Cricetulus griseus: one gene and its partner. The protein of the gene in region 1 purifies or fractionates together with the protein of each later gene. This does not show direct contact. Links are inferred from orthologs where the notes say so. Each region holds a gene or a part of one and is shown on either strand. Other genes may lie near its edges.

Region 1 (3,500 bases):
CTGTTTCTCTCAAAGGGCTGGAAATCAAACCCAAGGTCATGGATGACCCCGAGTGACCCCTCAGCCCTGTCCAGTTCTGAAGGGGCTGTTGTCGTTCAGGAAAGTGGGAGACCAGCCCCAGCTCGGGATGTGAGGTCTCCCCCGCTCTGTTCCACTCAGCCTGGGCTGCAGACTGCTGGAGAGTCCAAGGGTGTAAAGATGCTCTTGGGGCTAATGGGTGGGCAAGGGCCTACATGTCTGAGGGGAGATGGGCTGCTTACTCACTCAAAATGCTTCTTGATTTTTTCTGACTCTGCATATTTGGAGATTCCATTGATGAAGAGAGTCCGCTTGACCTGTGGAGGAGGACAGCAGGCCTGTCTCCCTGCAGGTGGCCTCCAGGAGAGCCACAGGACGCAGGGAGGGGGTTTGGGTTTGGTGGGAATCTGTCAGGTCTCAGTGGAGTATGTGTAATAGAAGCCTGATGGAGGAGCCATGAGGTGCCTTGTTCTGTTACAGGGGGTTACAGGTGTTATCAGGTGGATGGACACTTACATCCCTGAGGAACCAGCACAGTGGCTAGCAAAGAACAAACACACGGTCCAGGCTGGGTAAGTAGCTGCAGAAGGTGAAGGAATATTCCCACCACCCATATCAAGCAAGACGACAGTACAACTATCTGACAGCACTATCAGCCATGGTATTTCCCAAGGGTCAGGCTCAGCATGGGGCGGCCTAGGCATTGCCTTCAGAGGGCCCCTGGAGGGAGGCCCTTACTCCATGTGGAGGAGGGACCCCAGGCAGCCGAGGCGGGCTGCCCTTCCTCACCAGCATGGAGCGGCCTAGGCATTGCCTTCCGAGGGCCCCTGGAGGGAGGCCCTTACTCCATGTGGAGGAGGGACCCCGGCAGCCGAGGCGGGCTGCCCTTACTCACCAGGTCATCTTCCTTGTAGCGCATCTTAGAGGTGTGTCTCCGCATGCTGTAGACTGTGAGCAGCAGGTACAGGAAAGCAAAGGAGGTGTGCAGCCAGAGGAGATTATTCCTGGGGGGGGCGGTCACACGGGGTCAGCAGGGTCCACCTCTGCCGTGTCCACCCATCTCTGAAGCCTCCCACCTCTCACTTCCGCCCTAGACCCCACCCACTGCAGAGCTACTTCCCTGGCCTCACCCTGATTTCAAGTTGGCAATGGTGGTTCTCCCGAAGCTGTAGGCATTGTTCTCTGGAAGGTGGGAAGGAGAAGGGGATGGCGGTAGGTCAGCCAGACGCCCTCTGTCCCCTTCCACTCCAGCCACCTGGCCCTCACTGACCTAGCAGGTCCCCTGAGAAGTTGACAGGCAACACGATGCCTACAGAGAGGACGCTCACGACAACCAGCAGCCCGATGATGTGCCTCTGGAAGGACAGGTAGTGCACCGCGTCGCCGCCACACTTGTCCCGGATCTCATCGTCCCTGTAGGCCACGGGAGGCACACAGAAGATGCCGTGAGGAGCAGCAAGGGAAGGCTGGAACCTGCTCACCCCCTCCCGCTCCACCCTGGCCACCCCTGCTGATGGGGCAGCAATGGGGTTGAGGTGAACTTCTCATCCCGATTTCCTGGAAGGGAAGGAAGGAGAGGAGGAGGAATGCACAGAGCCTGGAAGTGGCTAGGAAAGGTGAAGCAAGAGAGGGAGAAAGCAAGGCTAGGAATGGAGAGGCAAAGACAAGAAGAGGGAGGGGGGGAGGAGGGCAAGGAGGGATGGAAAGGGAGGGAGGCTGGGAAGTGGGCAGCAGCAGCTCCTTCTAGGGCCTTAAGGGTACCAGAGCTGAGCTCCTATGGCCAAGGGCCACACTAGGGGAGGGGTCCAGAGCATGGTGAGGGCCCCAGTGCTGACCTGTCCCAGTTTCCTGCCTTTCTCACTGCTCACTGCCTGCCTGTGGACTCTGGCTGGATGTCCTGAGTTCTGCCTGCTTGCTGGCTGCTGGCTCCTGCCTGCGTGGCTGGCTGGCTGCTTCCAGCCTGCCTGCTGCCCCCACCCGCTGGCTGCAGAGAAGTTGAGATGGGGGCTCCAGCCCCTGCTCTCAACCTGTGGCCAGGGCTGGTAGATCAGGGCATGGCTGACCTCGTGCAGAGTGTCACAGAGGAGATGGTGGGTCAGAATAAGCATTTGAGGGTCAGCCCAGGCTGGGTCCCCATTGCCTGGCCTCTTGGAGTGGGGTGCAGGGTACTGCGATGGCTAGGAGCACTAAGGCCTCAAAGCTGCTGGCTTTGGATTTGGAAGGAGATGACAGATTCTGAGGTTTCTTTCTGTTTCTCTTTAGAGTGTGCAGACCATTCACTTACTTTATCCTGAAGATGGCTGTCAGCCAGGAACAGAAGCCCTGGGGGAACAGAGGGAACACACTGGAGATCCCAGCCTATCAACCCACTTGCCTTCCCTTAAGCTCCACCCAGGGTACAGCTCCTACACCCACCCCTGCACCTGAAGAAAAACCCATCCACATAGGACATAAGTTGGTATAGTCTGCCTGGTATGAGTGAGGCCCTGGTTCCTATCTCTAGTACTGCAAAAAGGAAATATTTAAGTGGGGGTGAGGGAGACAGATCAGTCAGTAAAGTGCTCGCCGTGCAAGCACAAGGATCTGGGTTCAATCCCTGGACCCGCAGGGTGTGGTGGTACACACTCCCAGCACTGGGGAGGCACAGACAGGTTCATTGGCCAGACAGGTTGGCCTAATAGGGAGCCCTAGGTCCCAAGTTAGAGACCATATCTCAGAAAAAAACAGGTGGGCCTGGGAAGATAGCTTCTCTGGAACCTCACAAGGTAGAAGGAGAGAACTGACTTCTTCAAGCTGTGTTCTGACCTCCATACACATAGCTTAGTATGTGTATGTGTGTGTACATGTGTGTGTGCATGGTGGATAAGTAAATGCAAGTGCCCCCCCCCCAAAAAAAAAGAAAAAATAAACCAAGGTTGACAGTACCCAAGGAACAATGGTCAAGATTGACTGTTAGCTTCCCCATGTACCTGTACAGATGTGCAAACACACCTGTGCACTCATGAACACCACACACACACACACACACACACACACACACACACACACACACCAAAAACCCCACAAAGAGCTAGGAAGATCTGCCTTAAGAAAGAAAGGCCCAATAGCTTACTGTTGGACCCCAGGTCCGGAAGTGTAAATAACTGCAAACCTTAGAGTTCTGTGGGCCAGAATGGGACTGCGTATACTTTGGGGTTCAAGAAAGGTAGTGGGATCCCCTGATCTTTAGTTACTAAGAAGAGTTTGCAGGCTGGCAAAATGACTCAGAAGGTAAAGAAGCTTGCTGCCAAACCTGATGACCTGAGTTCAATCCTAAGGACCTACATGGTCGAAGGGGAGAGCCAATTTCCAGAAGCTGTCCTCTGACCTCCATATATACAATGTACATAGTGGTAAAAACACCCATAAACTTATACAAATGAATTATACAAATGAATTAATTTGTATAATAAATTAGTTGTACAAATTAATTATGTAATTAA
Region 2 (4,214 bases), on another chromosome or scaffold:
ACATACCGAGCCAGAGGCCGGCCTCGTCTACATAAAACTGTCTCAAAACAAAAACGGGGATGGGAAGAACTGGGATTGGAATAGAGTTCAAGTGCTCAGTCTGGGCATGCCTTCTTTTTAGGACTATCCCAGGATGAGAGTGTATCTGGTTTGCATGGCAACCCAGGCTCCTGCAGCAGGATGTCTCTTCATCGCCCTCAAGCCTCCCCCACCCCTACCCCCCTCGGCAATCTGGTTGGTTCTGGACCCGCCTTTCTCTTGCTCCCCGCCCCACCCACTCTCGGCGCCGGCCCGAACTGGCGCGAGTCTGGGAAGTTGTCTGGGCGCCCACTCTATCCCCAAGTCTGTCTGAGACTCTCTAACCATCCACCCCCTCAACCCCACCCCCCACCCCTGCCTAACCAGCTCTTCATTAAGACTTCCCATCCGTGCTCAACTTAGTGTTCTACGTGGGAGACACGGGTTAAGCGAAAAGGGAAAGTCCTGGGCTCAGGCCGGGCTTGCAGTCCCTGGCTGCTCCATTTGGTCCCCCAGAGCTCATGGAGCGCCCGCCTGCCGCGAGGAGATCTCGGCTGTATCCCCCGCTTCTAGAACAGCTCGTGGCCCGAAGCTGGGACTCTGTAATTACCTGTTAATTAGATGCATCCCTCTTTGCTTATGAAATGAAAATGAAGCAGTGCTTCTGTGTAGGTTTCTTGGGATCTGTTACACATAGTGCTCGTCGTTAAGTTCTACTTTATAATAAAACATTTTAATCATTTTTTTAAAAGTTTCTTCACGAATTGGTTGCCTCTGTTGTGACTTTTTTCCTGGGAGTATAGCTGTACTTCTCAAAAGGTCCGTAAGTGTTTTCTGCTTATCAACATCTAATCCTGATGTCATTAATATGAATGTGCAGTAACACATACTTGGCGACCAGAAAAGCTTGGATAGTAGTAGCTCCTGACAGCTCAGGGAATGGAGTCAGACCCTTACTGAGCTTCCAACATTGCCGCCTACTGGTTAGGTAGGCGCCAAGTCACTCCCGCCACCAAGTCACTCTAGAAAACTCTTAGGTCTAGAATTCTATCCACTTGAGCAAGGATGGATGCGCGACCCACAGAAACTCCCTGGCTGGCACCCTGCTTTCCCCAAGTTCGAGAACTTTATCCGGCCAGGCTCTGGACCCACGAGGTGACCTACAAGCCGAACAGCAGCCGCTCTGGTACTTCGGTGTCCCAGAGCCCTGAGCCCCGCCCCCGCCAGGCTCCTCCGCCCCTTCCGAGCTGCGCATGCGCTGCACCGCGAGCGTGTTTTTATAAAAGTCCAGTTCGGGCCAGAAACTTCAATTTGTTGCCTGGTGCAGCAGGTAGCAGAGACCCTCCGAGGCGTTCGGTGCTCCGGTAGCCACCACGGCTGGAGAGCGAGTGTTGCCATGGAAGGCATCAGTGTAAGTGTAAGTCCAGTTGCATCCGACTTTGTAGTAAGCGTGCAAAGTTAGAGCGCAGCCCCTGTAAGAACGGGTACAAGCGACTAGAACCTTGGGGATGTCGGGGTCACGAAGAAGGGTCGCGGGAACTATTTTTGTGTGTGTGTGTGTGTGTGAGCATGGCTATAGGGGGAGGAAGATAAAAAATATTTATCCCAGTAAATAGCGGGGGGGAGGTTCGGATGCAGCTTTCCTGAAGCTGCTCCTGTTTCCCGCTTGAGTTCCGTGGCGCGCGCCGGCTTGCACGATGTTTGAAAACGTCCTACTTTTTGTGCACACGGACGGTGAAGGCTCGCGCTCTGTCCCAGTACTCAAACATGGTCTGGTCCTCCTGGGAACAGGAGTTTCTTGGAGTTTCTTACATTGGGTGAATGTAAAAACTGGAGTCGGTACGTGTAGGCAGAGTTCCCAGGTCGACACTACATCCTGGGTTAGCTTCGAACAGAAGAAGCATCTTGGAGCGGTTCTTGGGATTAGGAGTGTGGTTCCAAGGAGCGCCAGTCTCTGGCGGGAAACGCGAACTCGCCTATCGCGTCGCTTGCCTAGCGGGGGTCCAAACCTCGGCAGCCGCGGGGAGGTGACCGAACGCGGCCGCTTTGGGGTGGAGTGGCAGCGCTTTGCGGGGCATCCGAACCGCCGCTTCTCCGCGGTGGCAAACGAGCCTCCTGAGGTCTGGGTTGCCTTTAGGACCGTTCACGAGAAAGGGGCATAAACCTGCACCTTGCAGCTGCCGGCCGGCCGGGAGGTGTGCCGGGCGGGATGGTGGTTGGGGACAAGAGGGCGTGTTGGAACCGCACCTGGGTTGTGCCTGGTCGACGCAGGGATGAACAGGTGCAAGCCTGGAGTCGGTTTGACTGAGCCCCAGTGCAGAGTTTAACCGTCGGTGGTTTCCTGAGTCTTTTGAAACCCCCTCGCTTAGGGAGGGTTTTGTTGTGTGTGTGAATGTTTTTTTTTTTTTTTTTTTTTTTTTTTCGTTTCCTCCCGCGGCGCGCAATTCAAAGGCGCTCGCACTGGAGCCGCCCAATCTGTCGCCCGCACCCGGAGGGACGATCCTGGCGCGCAGCCAGGAGGAACCCCTGGAACCGCTGCCGGTTGGCCTTAAGCCTGGGTGTAGTGGGCCACAGCGCCAACCCCTAGGTGGGTGACTCGGACCTCCGGGTGTGCATGGTTTCGACCCTTCCAGCTGCCTACCTCGGACTCCAGTAGCTAGCTGGGTCCGCTGCAGGGTGGGAAAGGACCGGGAGAGTGAGGAAGTGAAACTTGGGGTGAAAACCACGGGGTGCAGACCCCGTGACTTTCCCCACCCAGGATAATGTGACTCTAACGTCCCAAATACACCCAGTGATAAACATGGGGGTGGCAAGAGAGACCTACCTTCCAGAGAAGCGCCCGGAGGTGGGGTGAGGTGGAGTAGAGGAGTGCTGTTTGCTCACTTTTAGCACCCCCATAACCCTAAATCCCCAAAGATCCCCAAAGACTTTGGCATTATTCCTCTTTCTTCACTACGTGTGACTTGAAATGCAGTGGCTTGTGTTTAGACAGATGTGAGGAAAACAAGGTTTTGCCCCTAAAAAACGTTGTCTTTGGGGGGAACCCCACCATCATGTTCCGTTTTCCTCTCTTCTTTCCTTTGCCTAATCTTCGTACAAAAACTTAATCCCATCTCCTCCTCCAACGCAGATTTAGCTTCACACCTCTCGCTCCCACCCTACAGCGCCTGGGAGTGACTTCTTTTGTGTGACCGGAGTTTTTTTTGTTTTGTTTTGGTTGGTTTGGGGTTTTACTTTTTTTTTCCCCCTTGCCTCTCGTGGGCGGGCAGGAGAGTTATCCAAGACTAGGCTGTGAAACCCTTAGAATCTCAACGTCCTTTTGTTCTTAACAAAGACTCCTAATTGGTTCCACTAAGGGGAGGATAAAGAAGTGACTGTGAGGGAAGATGGAGAAAACCATCGGTTGCAGGATTTTGTATTCTCTCTGGACCTAAGCCAGCCTTTTGGAGCTTCCTGGAAAAGGCTTGGTTAAAACCTGCAATAAACGGCTAGGTGGTTTTTTGTTTGTTTTGTTTTGGCACCAGAAAACTTAAAACTTGGGAAAGGCTTGTTAACCTTGTAAGTGATGTGCATGTCCCTGTTTTCTTTTGCAGATATACACTGCAGATAACTATTCTGAAGACATAGGTTCAGGAGACTATGACTCCAACAAGGAACCCTGCTTCCGGGATGAAAACGCCCATTTCAATCGGATCTTCCTGCCCACCATCTTCTTTATCATCTTCTTGACTGGCATAGTGGGCAATGGCTTGGTGATCCTGGTCATGGGTTACCAGAAGAAACTAAGAAGCATGACTGACAAGTACAGGCTGCACCTGTCTGTGGCTGATCTCCTCTTTGTCATCACGCTTCCCTTCTGGGCCGTTGATGCCATGGCTGACTGGTACTTTGGGAAATTTTTATGTAAGGCTGTCCATGTCATCTACACTGTCAACCTCTACAGCAGTGTCCTCATCCTGGCCTTCATCAGCCTGGACCGGTACCTTGCCATTGTCCATGCCACCAACAGTCAGAGGCCAAGGAAGCTGCTGGCTGAAAAGGCAGTCTACGTGGGTGTCTGGATCCCTGCTCTTCTACTGACTATACCTGATTTCATCTTTGTTGACGTCAGCCAGGGAGACGGCAGGTACATCTGTGACCGCCATTACCCTGACAGCCTGTGGTTAGTGGTGTTCCAGTTCCAGCACATTGTGGTG

What was found. The genes of interacting proteins can lie anywhere in the genome.
Region 2: the proteins of Tmem63b (region 1) and Cxcr4 purify together in Homo sapiens (co-immunoprecipitation; 3 studies listed by BioGRID and IntAct, with this or other methods). This does not show direct contact. The link is inferred for Cricetulus griseus from reciprocal best matches to the Homo sapiens genes TMEM63B and CXCR4.

Annotation. Positions count from the first base shown.
Region 1 is NW_023276807.1:31,988,961-31,992,460, forward strand, and holds part of Tmem63b (CSC1-like protein 2), read right to left. Parts: intron 2,341-3,500; coding exon 2,303-2,340; intron 1,432-2,302; coding exon 1,289-1,431; intron 1,201-1,288; coding exon 1,149-1,200; intron 1,023-1,148; coding exon 914-1,022; intron 336-913; coding exon 265-335; intron 1-264. UniProt on the Homo sapiens protein: Mechanosensitive cation channel with low conductance and high activation threshold. Osmosensitive cation channel preferentially activated by hypotonic stress.
Region 2 is NC_048598.1:60,235,089-60,239,302, forward strand, and holds the start of Cxcr4 (C-X-C chemokine receptor type 4), read left to right. Parts: upstream 1-1,414; coding exon 1,415-1,435; intron 1,436-3,611; coding exon 3,612-4,214.